Kluyveromyces lactis: one gene and its partner. The protein of the gene in region 2 interacts with the protein of the main gene of each other region in a pairwise test. Links are inferred from orthologs where the notes say so. Each region holds a gene or a part of one and is shown on either strand. Other genes may lie near its edges.

Region 1 (7,606 bases), on a different chromosome or scaffold from region 2:
TTGATATAACAACCATTGGTTTAAAACGTTTGCGCCAATCTATCACTATTATTCCACAGGACCCAACCCTTTTCACCGGTACTTTGAAAACCAATCTCGATCCATACAACGAATATTCGGAAGCTGAAATTTTCGAAGCTCTAAAACGTGTCAACCTTGTTTCCTCAGAAGAACTTGGTAATCCTTCTACTTCGGATTCAACCTCGGTACATTCAGCAAATATGAATAAGTTTTTGGATTTGGAAAATGAAGTCAGTGAAGGTGGTTCCAACCTCTCACAAGGACAACGTCAATTGATATGTTTGGCCCGTTCATTATTGCGGTGTCCAAAGGTAATTCTACTTGATGAAGCCACAGCTTCAATCGATTATAACTCAGACTCTAAAATCCAGGCTACTATAAGGGAAGAATTCAGTAATAGTACCATTCTCACGATTGCTCATCGTTTACGATCAATTATTGATTATGATAAAATACTTGTTATGGATGCTGGGGAGGTTAAAGAATATGATCATCCTTACTCCTTATTGTTGAATCGTGATAGTATATTCTATCATATGTGTGAAGATAGTGGAGAATTAGAAGTCTTGATACAATTAGCCAAAGAATCATTTGTCAAAAAGCTCAATGCAAATTGAGAAGTATTATTTAATCGGGAGTAGTAATAATTCAATATATAATAGTCGCAGAAAAGTTTTAAACATTTTATTATTCTTCAGCAAATTTCCTGAGTTCTATTCTACAGGATGTCTCCTCCAGTCCACAACTGTTAGTCCGTCATTTTGTACAACAACAGTGCTTCTAAGAGTGTATTTAAACAATCTGGGAAGCAATACAAACTTCATGAACCAGAAGCCCACGGAAAGTGCGAATAGGAAAATAGCTGCGTACTGATAAGAGGGAAACTTCCCAACAGAGTTGCCGGTTCCATTACCAAAAAATGGACCAACACTCAAGTATACGGAGAGAAGCAGAAAGGCGACCACCCCCACAATTGGTGTTCTCGAAGGAAATTGGTATCTTTTTAGACGTTCTCTCCTGACGAGTAATCCAGCAGCAACTAAAAGTAACATTATTTGATTCCCATATCCCTCAAAATTGATCAAGTAATCGAAAGCAGCTCCTGTCCCTGGAAGTAGATATAGCCAAAAAGAACTGACTATGCCGCAAATTAACAAAGAGGGAAGTGGGGAATTACAAGGCCAATTTCTGGCCAATTGTGCAGAAAAAGGAAACAGACCCTCTCTAAATATTTCCTGATTCATTCTAGAAATACCATACACAGTAACAAAAAGGTTCGATATTGCAGAAAGGATTATGGAGATATTAATGAATTGTGCTCCCACGGCTTTTCCGAAAATCTTAGAAAATAAAACAGATCCGAGCAAAGGTCCAGCATTCTTGATCTCCTCATAAGTGAGCACCTTTATGTATGCAATATTCAGAGAAAGGTAGCATATTAGAGCCATCAGAAGCGAAAGAGGTCCAGCCAATTTCAATGTCCTGTTAGGATCCTTGATCTCGGAGGTAACGGTGTGAACAGTATCCCATCCAGCGAAACAATAAAAGCACTGGATAAACGCAGAAGTCAATGATGCACTACTGATCGCTTCAGAGCTTTGCACAGCAGCACTAAATAATAGCGACGGCTGGGTTATGTCATAAGAAGCATTATGATAAAATAGTGTCACATACATTCCTGCTAAGGACATTAGGAGCACAATGACCAATTTTATAATCCCCAAAATATTCTGAATGATGAGGCCATGGTTAAGAGAGAGACCATGCACAAACACTATAACCATAATAGCAGCTATTCCAATATAGTTAGAAGCATACGACTCCTTGTTAACAAAGTCTTCACCATAACCTAAGGCGTATAATATATACTTTCCTAATATCATCGCAGGCGACATAGCAAAACAAGTCATTAGACAATATGTGCATAAAATAACTGTCGTCATCATTGGCGGCTTATCGTATAAAAATTCAAGGAAATTTTTTCTTCCGCCACTTTTTGGCAAGATAGTGCCTAGCTCCAAAAACATTGACATACCGATAAAAGCCATCACTGCAGCACACAACCAAACGAATAGAAACAGGCTCACATTCCCACCGCAATTCACGAAAACACTGCTGGGAACAGAATAGATACCGCCACCAACTATCCTTGACACAAAGAGAATAACAGTAGAAAAAATTCCAAGGTGCCTCCCCTGAGGTACTTCGTTATCTGATATCAAGGATGACACATTCTTACTTAGATCTTCAGTGGAATCCCTCTCCGACTCTATTATATATAGAGGGGCTTTTGAACCCTCTATCAAGTGTGTATCCTCCATACAGCAGATGTTCTCGTTGGATCATAACAGTGTATAGGCATTTTATCTCAGCTGTGTATATCAACTTAATGACAAGGAACCTTAATTTTATTTTACATCCTCCTTCTCATTGATAAAAGATGCTGATCGCGTTCTCTTTTTTTTTTTAATGCGGTTCTGATATGTATGCATGCAACCAAAAAAAACTAGGCGAGAGAAAGCTTGTGTGGCATCGAAGGATTCGAGTCACGTGGAGGAAATTCATAACCCCTAGCGGGTCTATTCGGAGATGCTATTGTTAATTAGCTGTTTAATCAATTATGTGGATGTATGCACCTGGTGTCTTATGATAGGACAGTAAGGTCGATCATACATTAGATATAGTGTCTACATGTTTAGGAGAGTTTCACATCCATAACACAGAGAGACCAGGATTACATCGTACTGATACCTAGCGTCAACAGTACCGAGACAGTACCGAGATTCACTCGGTCACATTTCACATACTGGTCGAACAGATAAACACATAATCTGGACTGTACAACTATACGACAAGAGCAACCAAAGTAGTCCGCAATTCGAAAGGATGATGATTTTTGAAATGAGCAGTGAGGTATACTCAATGTATGCACTGATGGAAGTGCTGATTCCACCCTTACCTAAAAAAAGTAACAGAAATTGGCCTAACATCTCAATTAGAGGTCACCCTGATAGAAATGGAGTGATCACCATTCTAATAGCCGCCTTCATGAGTAATATTCTGTATTTTTCAAGTGTAGAATCGGTCTGTAGTTTAGCACTGTGATGGAAAACGAAGCACAATAGGAATTTAATAGTGTTGGGTATGATTTAGTACAAACGCTATATTGAAACCTCGCTTTCACTACACCGTAGAATCCCATGCAACCTATTAAGTCTGCTCTCAACGTCAAGAATCATTTCTTCCTGTTGAGTTGATAAGCAAATAAACCGATTTATCACTAGAAAAGATTTCAGGACCAGCTGAATCACAGTTCTCGTTACATTGTGCAGCTGTGTCAATTCCAGAACACAGTCAGGGATTCGTGATCCAAACGAACCAAGGGTTAGATCCAGACTTTCAGTGAGTTTTGTGTCGAGATTCATTAACATATCTAACATTTTCAAGAGTTCCGAATGATGAGCTTCAAACCATACTTGAGCTTCGTTAGCGCCAAGATGAGAATTATTGCCGAACGCTATTAGATACCGGTGCATCTCCTTCAGGTTTTTATCACCATTCTTCAGGATTAGCTGCGAATTTTTTTGTAATTCAGCTAAGGCTCCCCTTATCCTCATATCATTGATGGAATATTCTCCTAATGTGAGTTCAAGGGTGTTGACTCGATCAACAAGTCGATTGATCAACACCACAGTGTCAGGTATCATTGTATAATATACTAATTAAAACAGATCTACCGACCCTCGGGAAAAGAAAACAGTCTAGAGCTTACGGGCATTAATATGTAAGAAAATTGAAGGATATGGAGTTGCAAACACACACATGATTGAAACCTACAAAATACTTAGTTTCACCGTGAAAGGCAATGTTTCTATAGTATTTTCCACAGAAAAGCATTGAAGTGTGCATTCTTATTGTTTCGTACATTACGATCACAAGGGAGGTTTACATTTCCCAAAAAACTTAAAAAAAATAGTGATCTTATAATTTCACCATTGAATTGACAGAACCTACATGACTTTTGCCGTTAGCAGAATTGAATGGGATTTTTTTTAGATTCCTTCTCATTATTCTCCTTTATTTCTCTATTACAGTGTACCACAGCCAATTATAAGTATCCACAAGATGTCCAGATCAGGGTATGTGTAAAAGCCATATTATAAAGTATAGGGGTAATTTTGAGAGAAGGTCTTTACTTAATATATTAAGGACCACATATGTGTTAAAAACAAAAACAAACATTGAAAAAAGCCCAATCCTTAACCGATGCACACATAAGTAGCAATTGGGTATAAGATTATAGGGTGCCTGGCGTGAAATCAAATATTAAAGGTATCTACCGTTCCTGATATTTTTTTTGAATGTTTGTTTCTGTTGATTAATCTGCCTTGTTTTATCTCCACCCTTATAATGGCAGTTTATAACAATTGTCGCCGCATACTTCCAGCTAATTGCAAACGAGTTTACTAACACGAGTTTAAAACATGATCTTTTTCTTATCCTCTTTTGTTTCTTTGGTTGAAGAACACACGATACCACCAACTTTCCCTATGATGGAATTGGTACCTGATTAATTGAATATTCAGATATTGTGCTATCTTGAACAACCAAAGATCTAAAAGGAAAGTAGGGATTGTATTAAAAACGAATTCATAACAGTGTTGCCGTAGCAGATGAGTCTTTGAACGCTTTCAATGATTTGAAATTGGGAAAGAAGTACAAATTCATTTTGTATGCTTTGAACGACAGCAAAACTGAAATTATTGTGAAGGAAACTTCTGCTGAACAAGATTACGATAAGTTTTTGGAGCAATTGCCAGAGAACGACTGTTTGTACGCAGTTTACGATTTTGAATATGAACTGGGTAACAACGAAGGTAAGAGATCTAAGATTGTTTTCTTCACTTGGTCCCCAGATACTGCTCCTGTGAGAAGCAAGATGGTTTATGCTTCTTCTAAGGACGCATTGAGAAGAGCTTTGAATGGTGTTTCCTCTGATATTCAAGGTACCGATTTCTCTGAAGTCGCTTACGAGTCTGTCTTGGAAAAGGTTAGCAGAGCTGCTGGCTCCCACTAAATTCATCAAGAAATGAAAGTATGCTATATTTTACCCAGAATCAATTATAAAAGATAATGCTTGTTCCTGTACTATTAATATGATAGTATAGTTATCTAATATTTTATATTAAAATTGAAATACCACTTTTCTTTCTATTAACCTCATGTTGATATTCGTTATAGTTTTATGGTTGTTCTCTAACTAGTGGAAAGTTTTTCGCGCCTTAATAAAAGAATCCAAACAAAATCTCTTATTAAGCAGAATTCAAAGATGCAATGCTTATAAACGGACCACGAAGAACAATGAAGTTGTGAGAAGGACAAAATTGAGGGATGGACTTTCTGAAAAATGAACCAGTAGTAAATTAAAGGGCCCTTGACAGCACTTGACTAATCCAAGTAACTGAATGAAATGAATTCGACGATATATCAAGTGAAGATGAGCATTAGTTAGTCAGTGGTATAGGTATCCAGGCTACTGACATAAAAGCCTCAGCGTATTGGATTGGTACTACGCCACTCTTACTGCTGTTAGGAATAGGATCTTTTGAAATCAAATGTTTGCTTTTCGAATAGGAAATATTCATTGCTTGCCATTCTCAACCATACAATACGGTCCATCACCACACCAGCGATAATGAAGTCCTTTATGGACCAACTTCCTACACTGTACACTTTAGGAAACATCTGTGAGAGATTAGGGAAAAACGCTTGGTAAAATTGCATGTATTCTAAGACATCGTCCTTTTCGATCGTGATATTGCGCTCGACATCATTAAAGGTATCGCTAACGAATGAAGGCGAGTGGGGACTTTTATAAAACTTAGCATTGTGAGCTTTGACAATCCAGAGTAAAAGTGCATGTTGAGCAAGACCTTTCTTGACAAGCTCTTCATAGGATGAGACGTTTAAACATGACGATAAACTGCTCGAAAACTCAGGGTCAAGCTTGTAGATAGATTTGAAAGACACTGGTTTATAAATCTTCATAATAGCTTTCATTTCCCTTTGCAGTTCTTCCTGAGAGGAATGAAAAAGCCTTCGCTGTCCTGTTAAGTAAATTTTTGCATTCTTTATGATCGATTCGTTCCGGATATTATGCGATTCGAATTTGGTCTTAGCTTTGAAAATAGCTATCTTTTGATGTAATAAAGCATACAGTTGATCTAGACCTTCAAGCACGGCACGTACAGTAATGTTTTTCTCTGATTTTAGTTTTGAGATAAATCCAAAGAGCTTAATTAACGGAACTGGAAGTGGATCTTTCAATGAAATATCGAATCTAACGGAATCACCAGATACGTTGTTCGGGTTGATTTCAGTACCGTAATTTGATGCTTCAGATAGTGTTTTTTCATCTAGTTTCAAAGATATAGACGTGGCATCATGTGGGTTGGAATCAATTGCAAAACCGTATCCGAGCAAAAGCTCCTCGTTTGATTTATCACCATAATTGTTATACAATTCACCCTTGGCTTCAATTATTTCCTCGGAACTAAATGTTATAAAGGAACCTTCTGACTTCCAGTGTACCTTCGTGTCACTTTTGTGATTTAAAAGATCGACGATTGGGAGAAGAAAGCCCTCCTCCAAACCCGCTGAATTATCATAAATTATGGATGGAAAAGCCCTCGAAGAAAATATCAAATGCGCCCACAGATAGGCAGCAAAAGAATCCACTGAATAGCATTTCTCAACAGCTATATTGTCTCTATCTTGAAGTTCATAGTACTTCTTCGCTTTTTCACTGCACAAATTCAGTTCCGTTAAAATCTCATACCATTCGTCTAGCAAAGAGGCAAGCTTCCGTTTGGTTTTTATGTATAGGTCAGAACCACGAATTATTTCTAGTTCATGCGGCTGCCATACTAAAGGGCTCGAAATATCGTCCAAAGATGGCAATACGTCCAAATAAGGTTGCCATTTCGCTGACTGATTGGACTGCAATGCGATTAAATACAACTGAGTAATCGCGTTAGGGTTTGATGAAGAACAACTATCAATTTCAAAGTATTGAAGCGCTTCAGCCTTAGTTAAAATGAAATCTTGAGATATCTTTATGAGGGCTTCCTTATTATGTAGCTTATGCTTCAAGTATGCACCTACACCAGTCACCGGGTCAATTCGAAACTCTAGATCATCACTGATTTCACAATTATTCTTCTTTGCATGGACCAACAATCTTTCAAGAGCTGCTTCTTTAACCATGATGTATTACTACTCAAAGAGATTCGATGGATTTACTGGGAGAGTTTCGGTATGGCAATATCTTTGCTGCCCAGCGTTTATTTACAAAGATGGTCTAAGAATGCCAATTCTTTTTTTTCATTTCTGTATCAGTGCGAATTTCCTATGAAAATCAAGGAGATCATAAGGAGTACATGTGCATCATCGGAAAACACATTATCAATCTTTATTGTTTTATTAGACTCTGTTATAGGATTTGGAGGAGTCATTATTTTTGGTTTAACGGAACATGGTGAAGTATTTCTCCCAGTATTTAAATGCAAGAACAGTACTTACCGGG
Region 2 (8,368 bases):
GGATTGCACCTCTTGGAATCTTGGCACCCATTCTTTCGTATCTGGATGGTTCTTTCAAGAAACTAACGAATTCCATGATTTCTTCCTTGGCTTCATCGCAACCAGCAACATCCTTGAAATTGACCTTTACGTCGGTATCTTTATTAAACTTTCTGGCCTTTGATTTACGCACGTTGAATAAACCACCTGGGCCACCACCGGCAGCGGATGCACCCTTTGTAGTAATCCAAATCAAACCTGCAATCAATAGTGCAGTTGGTAATATTTGGAAAGCTAATTTGACCCAATTCCCCTCTCTAGTGTAAAGAACAGGAATTCTAAAGTCTTCCGCGATATTCAATTCATCTTGTGCTTTCTTCAATTTATGTTCAAATGATTCCACGGATCCGATCGTAAAGAAATAAAAATCGTGGCCCATATGTTCAGGTTGATTTTTCCCGTTATCGTTCAAGATAACCTTGACTAGATTATTATTGATAACAATTAATTTGGACACGTACCCTTTCACCAACAACTGGTTACGGAATTCTTGCCATGTAAGTTCTCTTTGTTCCTCCATGCTGTTCAATCTGTGTAGGATAAATGCTAATATCGTCAATGTCAAACCAACTTTGAATAAATTGATGTTAACAGTCATCATATTCGAATCATTTGGTGTGAAATCCGTATTTCCGTTGGAACTCTTCTTAGACTCATTCTTGGGATCATTCTTGGGATCATGCTTCTTCGCCGATTCTTCAAATTCTCTCTTCTCGCGCTCTAGATGGAAAGGATCATTCGCTTTATCTTGGGCATCTTCTTTTTCCTGCTGCCTCTTCACAGCAAGCTCCAACCTCTGTAATTGCTCTTCAATCTTCTTCTTACGCTCTTCCATATCGAGTTTCTGATCTTTGTTCAAATCATCGATAAACTTTCTAACTTCTTTCCTGACTTTATCAACGTCTTCATCCGTAGGCTCCTTTTCAAACCGATTCTGCATCAAGTTGAGCTTACCGGAATGGAACGTACGGCATACGTCGTTTCGTAACAATATCAGCGAACGCCCCTTTGGAACTTTGTACAACGCCCTACTGGCCACAGACTTTACGCCAAGCCTAGATACCGGCCTTATTAAATGGAACATTGCAAGTCACTTCAATGTAATAAAACCACCACGTCGCTGCTACGGTTAGCCGAGTCTGATTGCTATACCGTTTACCTAACAGGACTTTTCGAATTTAAAACCAGTGGAAAATCTTTGTTAACACCGAAACAAACCGAGACAAAAACAGCCGTTTCAACAAACACCTGGCTATTTTACACTACTATAGGGTCTTAAATTCACAATGCAACCACTGTAGATTGCAAATGTAACTGCTAACGCTCCTTTTATCGGTGGCAAATGGCCTTGTCTGTTCACCTTATGGGGTTGTTCTGGTTGAAAAGCCCAAATTCATTTTTGGTAGAGCAAGGACATATCGTTACCCGGCCACTTAGTATAATACACTCTTATTACGTATGTTGAGATATACACGTATACATGGGAGGTCAGTTCAGCTATGTTATAGGCTTGTTTCGAATCTCTTTTGTTCTTCTATAGCAGCGACTATATCTTCGTCCAAGATGTCTTCGTACATCGATGTAGGGACGTCAGAAAGACCGGTGCAAGGTCTTGCTAGGTCAAGAGCTTTGATTCTTGTTTCGTACATAACTTGGCTTGTGTTTCCTTTCACTTTCTTCACTGATATCACTCTCGTCGATTGTGTGGATTGTGGTATATGTAAGACGTTCGTGTACGTATCTCTTAGTCCGAGGTTTTCGATGAGAAGAATGCGTTCTCTATCGTAGAAAAGATCACTGTTGAATCTACTGCATGCAGCAGCATGATGATAGAGCCAGTTCGTAGATGAGATATTGCTTGTTGCCGGGATGTTGTGATTTCTCTTGTCAAAGAATTCTACTGCATTTTTGGATGGGTTGACGGATAATTGTTGCGGAATGTCTATTCCAAGGGTATTTCTTCCAGTGACACTTGTGTGTGATGTTTCTCTTGCTGGGGTACCCTCTTTCACCTTCCCGGATGCACGAAGCTTACCGGCGTAATAATCATCCGTGATGTTTTTACCATCTACAACAACCTTGGCTCCGAATTCTCGGAACACACTCCTTGCAGTAACTAGCGCAATGATTCTGTTTCTGTACGAATAGGGCAATACACCATTTTTGATGAGATCGTCTCTCTCTGATTGCGAGATAATCAATTTGTATAGGTTTGGATGGTACTGGAAGAACAAGTATGAGTCTCTGAACCCAACGGCACGGGCTGGCTCAGTAGAAAGCATGTATTTAACTTCACCTCTGGAAGGTACCGTGAAAGTTCTGACTACAAATTGTCTTCCCTCTAGAAGATCACCATTCTTGGTGATCTTGGTTTCACCCTCTGGATCCTCAGGTAATGAATACTCGTCATTCACAATTGGGTATGGAGACCCGTTTTCGTCCACTGGGTACGGTAGTTTCTGTCTTAAGGGATCGTTCAAATCTTCTTCTCTTTTCCTCTTTGAAGGCCTTCCTCTTGTCGCTAGTACCACTGGAACAGGTGTGCTCGAAGCGGCCTTGCGCTTGGAACGAGATGGTTTACCCTCGTTTTCGATATCAGCATCTGGGTCATCATCGTAATCATCATCATTGGCTGGTCCAGGGTACTCTTGATCCTTTTCATCATCTTCAATGTCTAACTCGTCTGTATCGATTTTATAGCTGGTTGCTTTGTTAGCTGAGCGAGAAACCCTCGAGCTCTTCCTGCCTCTTCCTGCTGCTGCCATATCTGATATAGGAGAAACTCAAGCTTCTTGATTGGTGATTCCAAATACAGAATTACTAAGGAATGTTATGCGTATATCCGCTTTCAACCGAGCTTTGTTGATCTTGTTTGTTTATATATAAGCTTTGAGAGGCAGGAATCTGTTCAATGTTCAAGAGAAACATCAAAACGTATGAGATGATAAAGAAGAAAGAACAACTTCAACGGCTTTACTAGAAGCTCTAGATATTTCTGGGGGGGGGGGCCTTGATGCAACATCTGATCCTCCTATTGTTATTCATTGTCTTATATTTCGTACGTTAACTAACTGTTAAATACTTTTATGTGTTACTGGTAAAAAATGTGTCTCATTCAAAACTCGACGGTCCACCTCTTGATACAGGCGTCCACACCGGCGCTGACGATAGTGGAATCGTTTTCCCATAGTACACTGGACACACCGTCCTTTTGTGCGTTTAATCTTTTTATCACTTTCATAGGTTTGTTAACAGAGTAGATGAAGATGTTGGTGTCCAGAGAGCCAGTGACAACATAATCTTCCTCCAAATCATCATCATTTGCAGAAGGTCTCCAGTCAATGGATGTAATTCTGCTTGTGTGGAATGACCATCTCGAGGTCTTGACGTCCTTCGTGTCAAGATCATATAGGATAATCTTACCGGACACGTCACCGGCAGCCAAGTACTTTTGTGATGGAGAGAAGGAAAGAGCAGATGGAGTGGCACGTAATGGAGTGGCCAACGTGAATGCATCTGATAGGTCAGAAATTTTGAATAGCTGCACGGAGTTGGTTTGTTCGTATGCCACTGCCACGAAAGTAGTTCCCAATGCGAGGGCCCCGACAGGTTTATCTAGAGTTATCGATTTCGATAATAGCCCACTCTTGTTATCGATGATCAACAATTCGTTAGTGTTTGTAGCAACAGCCAAAGTGTTATGAGAGAAAACCGCACATTTAGGTTGCTCTGAGAATTGGTACTTCGTTTCAGCAAGCGCTTTTTCACCATCGATGAAATTCTTCAACGTTTCGTCCCAAGAAACACTCGATACCTCGTTATCAGAGTTATCGATGGCCAATACGAGATTACCATGAATATCATGGCTAATAGCATTGACTTCGTCACCTTCTGAATTCCAGGTAACAACTCTACCATCGTATGACCCAGACACTAATGGGTTTACCGCCAAAGAAGTAATCCCCTTGTTGTGACCATGAATGAATTTGATGGTATGATCATTTAGAGACAAAATGCTCAAGGTCCCATCAAGCGTCAATGTTACGATGGAGTTATCCTTAGTGACAACAACACCGACAATTTGATTCGAAACATCTGCACCTAATTTCCAAGACTGTTGGAATGGATCATCCAACGACACATCCCACAACCTTGCAGTGCAATCAGCACCCACGGTAACAACTCTAGAAGACTCTTCACCATCGTCTAACCATGCGACAGCAAACAAACCACCGCCAATTGGAGCCTTTTCAGACTCAATGTATTTGATAAATTCACCAGTCTTACCATCAAAGCAACATATCTTACGATCGCTACCGACAGACACAGCATATTTCCCTGCACCTGGAGAGAACTTGACGTCTCTAACGAATTTACCTTGGCCGTGATGCGTTCTATCACTGCTTGCAAACTTGAAAGGTGGACCCTGGTAAAACACAACAGAACCATCATCACTGACACTGAAAGCTCTCATTGGTCTGCTTTGCTTGAAATGAACTGCATTGACTCTTTGAGAGTGACCCGAGACTTCACCTAACGAGTTGCCCGAGTCCCAAGAGACAAACGCACCAAACCTATCACGACCTTCACCAACAACAGCCAATCTTTTACCCTCAAAATCCCAGGATATATCAGCGACAGGACCAGCGAGCACATGTAGTTCCGACTTAACGTTGTACTCAATTTCTCCAGACTTATCGTCCTGATTCCAAGACCAAACGATAACTCTACCGGAATCATCTCCTGAAGCAACATATTGAGACCCCTGGATAGGAGAAAATTTTACAACAGTGACATTACTGGTACCATGGCCATTGAATTGAACGACATGTTCACCATCTAAAGATCTAATGATGGCAGATCTACCGCTACCATAAGCTAAACTGTCAGTCTTTGGATCATATGATAAATGTGTCGTAAAGTTTCTCTTTGTAGAAGGGAGAGGTGCAAAAACCTTTGCTAAATTAATCGAAACCATATTATCGCGAGATACTAGATCAATTGACTTTTGGAACACTCTGTAAACGCACCAGAAAGACCTCTTCCTGACTCAAACGTGTCCTGTTCTCATGGTTTAGTTTCTTGATAAACTGGTGAGTATAAATAAATTCCATACATATGGAATGTAAATAGACGAAATAATAACTACTGGGATGCAGAAATACAAAGAAAAGATATCCTAAATACCAGTTAGTATAATGAAAGTGGTATTGCTGAATACCTGGGAATCAAGAAAATCTGGGAAACCAGGTTAAAAGCAGATAAAGGGCCTTAAAGGCCCTTTATCTGCTTGTAAAGTACAGTGAACGGTTATTCTTCTCTGAAAAATCACAATCAACGAGATTCTTCGAGTCTTCAAAGAAAAGAAACCAGATTTTGGAAAAAAAAAATGATTGAAGCCTTAGCTCATCGCATGGTTGATAAAATAGATTTCCCTGTAATTTGCGAGTTATATCAGTCGGTTTGGTATCGTCAGACTACTGTTAAGTGATAGAGGTGATTCAGGCGATCAGATTGGTAGAAATATTGTGAAGAAAATGTCGTCTGTGAGACCTAGAGTGACGCCGGTAAAGGCTCCTGTGTTACCAAAGCAGACCACCCCAGAGCAGAGGTACTGGAGGTCTTATTCATCTACTCAGCTTGTTAAAGAGCACAATGCAGTGACTCATATTGCCTTCAATCCCCAGCATCCACATGATTTTGCAGTTACCTCTTCTACTAGGGTACAGGTCTTCTCGTCAAGGACAAGACAAGTGATCAAGACGTTTTCTAGGTTTAAAGATGTGGTGCATTCGGCCACTTTCCGTCAAGACGGTAAACTTTTAGTAGCAGGTGACGCTACTGGGTTAGTGTCCGTTTATGATAGTTATAATCCACGTACTTTGTTGCTTTCTATACAAGCTTCGTCGCATCCTACGCATGTGACGAAGTTTCACGATCAGGATAACAAGACTTTGGTGACGGCAAACGACGATAGAGTAGTGAGACTATGGGATGTTTCTCATGCTTATGAACCCACTTTACAGTTAACTGGAGCATCTGATTATGTTAGATCAGTCTGCTTTGTGCCAAATGCTCCACATATGGTCGCTACAGGGTCGTACGATGGAGTAGTTAGATTGTACGATATTAGAACGAAATCAGATAAACCACAGACAACTTTGGATCACGGTCTTCCTGTGGAAGATATCACAGCCATATCTCCTACTCAGCTTGCATCGTGTGGTGGTAACGGGTTCAAAGTATGGGACTTGACTAGCGATAGAGCCCTTTGTGAACGTCAAAATTTCGCAAAGACGGTCACCTGTTTGAATTACACAAATATGGGAGAAGAATCACCAATGAGTTCCGTACTAGTTGCATCCTCGCTTGATGGTCATGTTAAGATCTTTTCCCCGTTGGAGAACTTCCAATTCAAGTTTGGCTGGAAGTTTAGCAACGCTGTGCTAAGTTGTGCAGTCTCACCAGGCGATGCGCAAGGTAATAAACATTTCGTTGCAGGTTTATCCTCAGGAATTCTAGCCATCAAGACGAAGAAGAAGTCCAAAAAGATTAACCTCGCTGATGTCTCTGATTTGGAGGATTTACCATTACAACAGCAAGAGAAGTCTGCGAAATCCAACAATTTCCAGAGAATGATGAGAGGGTCCGAATACAGAGGTGATCAAGAGCATATTATACACAACGATAAGCCAAATCCTCAGCGTAAGTTGCGTCAATTCGAAAGGCATATCAACCAATTCAAATGGTCTGACGCATTAGATTCTGCATTTATCCCCGGTATGGCTAAAGAATTAACTTTAACGGTATTACAAGAACTAAGGAAAAGAGGTAAAATCAAGGTTGCATTATACGGTAGAGACGAAAGTTCTCTAGAACCACTACTCAACTGGTGCTTGAAGGGAATAGAAGATGTTAGAAGTGCACCAATTGTTGCAGACTGGATTGCGGTTGTAATTGAACTCTACGGTAGTGTACTGGAGAAGTCCCCAGTACTTGAAGAGATGGTAATCACTCTAAAGAAAAGAGTAAGGGAAGAGATCCGCAAAGCAAAAGAAGCACAAAAGATAGAGGGTATGCTCCAATTGTTAACAAACTGATAAAATCCTTTCTACACTGATCTATAACAAAAAGGAATGCGTGTAAAAGATTATATTTATTTACATTTATAGTACATAGACTGCAACAACTGTATCATCCCGTTCGTTACGTCTGTTTCTTTGTTTTTAACGTTCTGACTTTGAAGAAATCACCTTCTTCCTCTCCATTTACTGGCTCTGTTTCTTCCTGCCTTTGTTGGAAGATTCAAACGCTTGAAGTTGTTGCTAACAAGGTTGTATTTACTCTTACGTTGCTTCTTCTTTACGGGTGGATTGGATTGTTGTTCAGAGTCAGACTCACTTTCTTCCACTTCTTTACCCAGCATTTTATTGTACTCACGTTCCTTCAACTTTGCTAGCTGTTCATGAACATTTTTGTCTGGAATGTTGGTCGACTTCTCGTTTAATGCTGCTGGTCTCATCTTCGCTTTTGTTCTTTTCTTTATGGTTTTAACTTTCCGCACATAATTGCTCTCAGTTTCATTGCCGACAGTTCCCTCGTCCCCCTCTTCAATTATATCCATATGTTCTTCCTGCATCAGCTTTTCCATAAGCGTTCTAATCGCAGTGAATTCGCTGAAATCTTCTGGGTTAGATTCGAATTCGTCTTTTATAATGGCATGTTCCTTCGCTAATTGGGACAGTGTCTTCACCGGCCTTTTAATCAGCGGCGATGGGCTGAAGGGAGAACTTTTCAAATCCAGGGTTCTACCAAGCGTCTTTGGTGTTTCTGACAACTGCAATCCAATATCGCCGATCCGCATTGGGGAGTTTGGTCCATATTTCGGTCTTGACACAACAATATTCGCAGATAGATTTGGAACTTGCTTCATTGGAGAAGAGTTCGGCGTTATTGAGAAGTTCAATTGGCGCCTTACCAGGTCATTTGATCTTACTGGCGAGCCAACTATATCTTCTTGATCCGACTGGTGAGTTTTCATGGCAGACACTTGCATCTCAAATATACTAACTAATTTCCCATTCATTTGAGGAGTCGGTCCGAATTCAGCCTTTGTGTTATTCACATGCGACTTCACTGGTGTTTGCTCTACGTTAACCTCCACCGATGGTTTAACAGTAGCATCCTTCTTGAGCTGTGCATACTGTTTATACTTTCTCTTGACCTCTTTATCCTTTTTTATATCATCTTTCTCAGGAAGCCTTCCATGCTCTTTCTCGAAAGCACGCTCCCACAGCTTGATCTCAATCTTAAGAGCATCCATACTAGC

Evidence for each region.
Region 1: the proteins of AIP1 (region 2) and COF1 interact in a two-hybrid assay, tested with the Saccharomyces cerevisiae proteins (2 studies listed by BioGRID). The link is inferred for Kluyveromyces lactis from reciprocal best matches to the Saccharomyces cerevisiae genes AIP1 and COF1.

The regions. Positions count from the first base shown.
Region 1 is NC_006041.1:32,205-39,810, reverse strand, and holds COF1 (cofilin), read left to right. Parts: upstream 1-4,146; coding exon 4,147-4,160; intron 4,161-4,680; coding exon 4,681-5,098; downstream 5,099-7,606. Other genes in the region: KLLA0_E00529g (uncharacterized protein), read left to right, coding at 1-638; MUP3 (Mup3p), read right to left, coding at 735-2,342; KLLA0_E00485g (uncharacterized protein), read right to left, coding at 3,183-3,728; EFM1 (protein-lysine N-methyltransferase), read right to left, coding at 5,611-7,287. UniProt on the Saccharomyces cerevisiae protein: Controls reversibly actin polymerization and depolymerization in a pH-sensitive manner. It has the ability to bind G- and F-actin in a 1:1 ratio of cofilin to actin. Binding to F-actin is regulated by tropomyosin.
Region 2 is NC_006042.1:1,270,956-1,279,323, forward strand, and holds AIP1 (Aip1p), read right to left. Parts: upstream 5,018-8,368; coding exon 3,155-5,017; downstream 1-3,154. Other genes in the region: m-AAA protease subunit YTA12, read right to left, coding at 1-1,123; NPL6 (Npl6p), read right to left, coding at 1,542-2,804; snoRNA-binding rRNA-processing protein UTP15, read left to right, coding at 5,577-7,139; SLD2 (Sld2p), read right to left, coding at 7,289-8,368.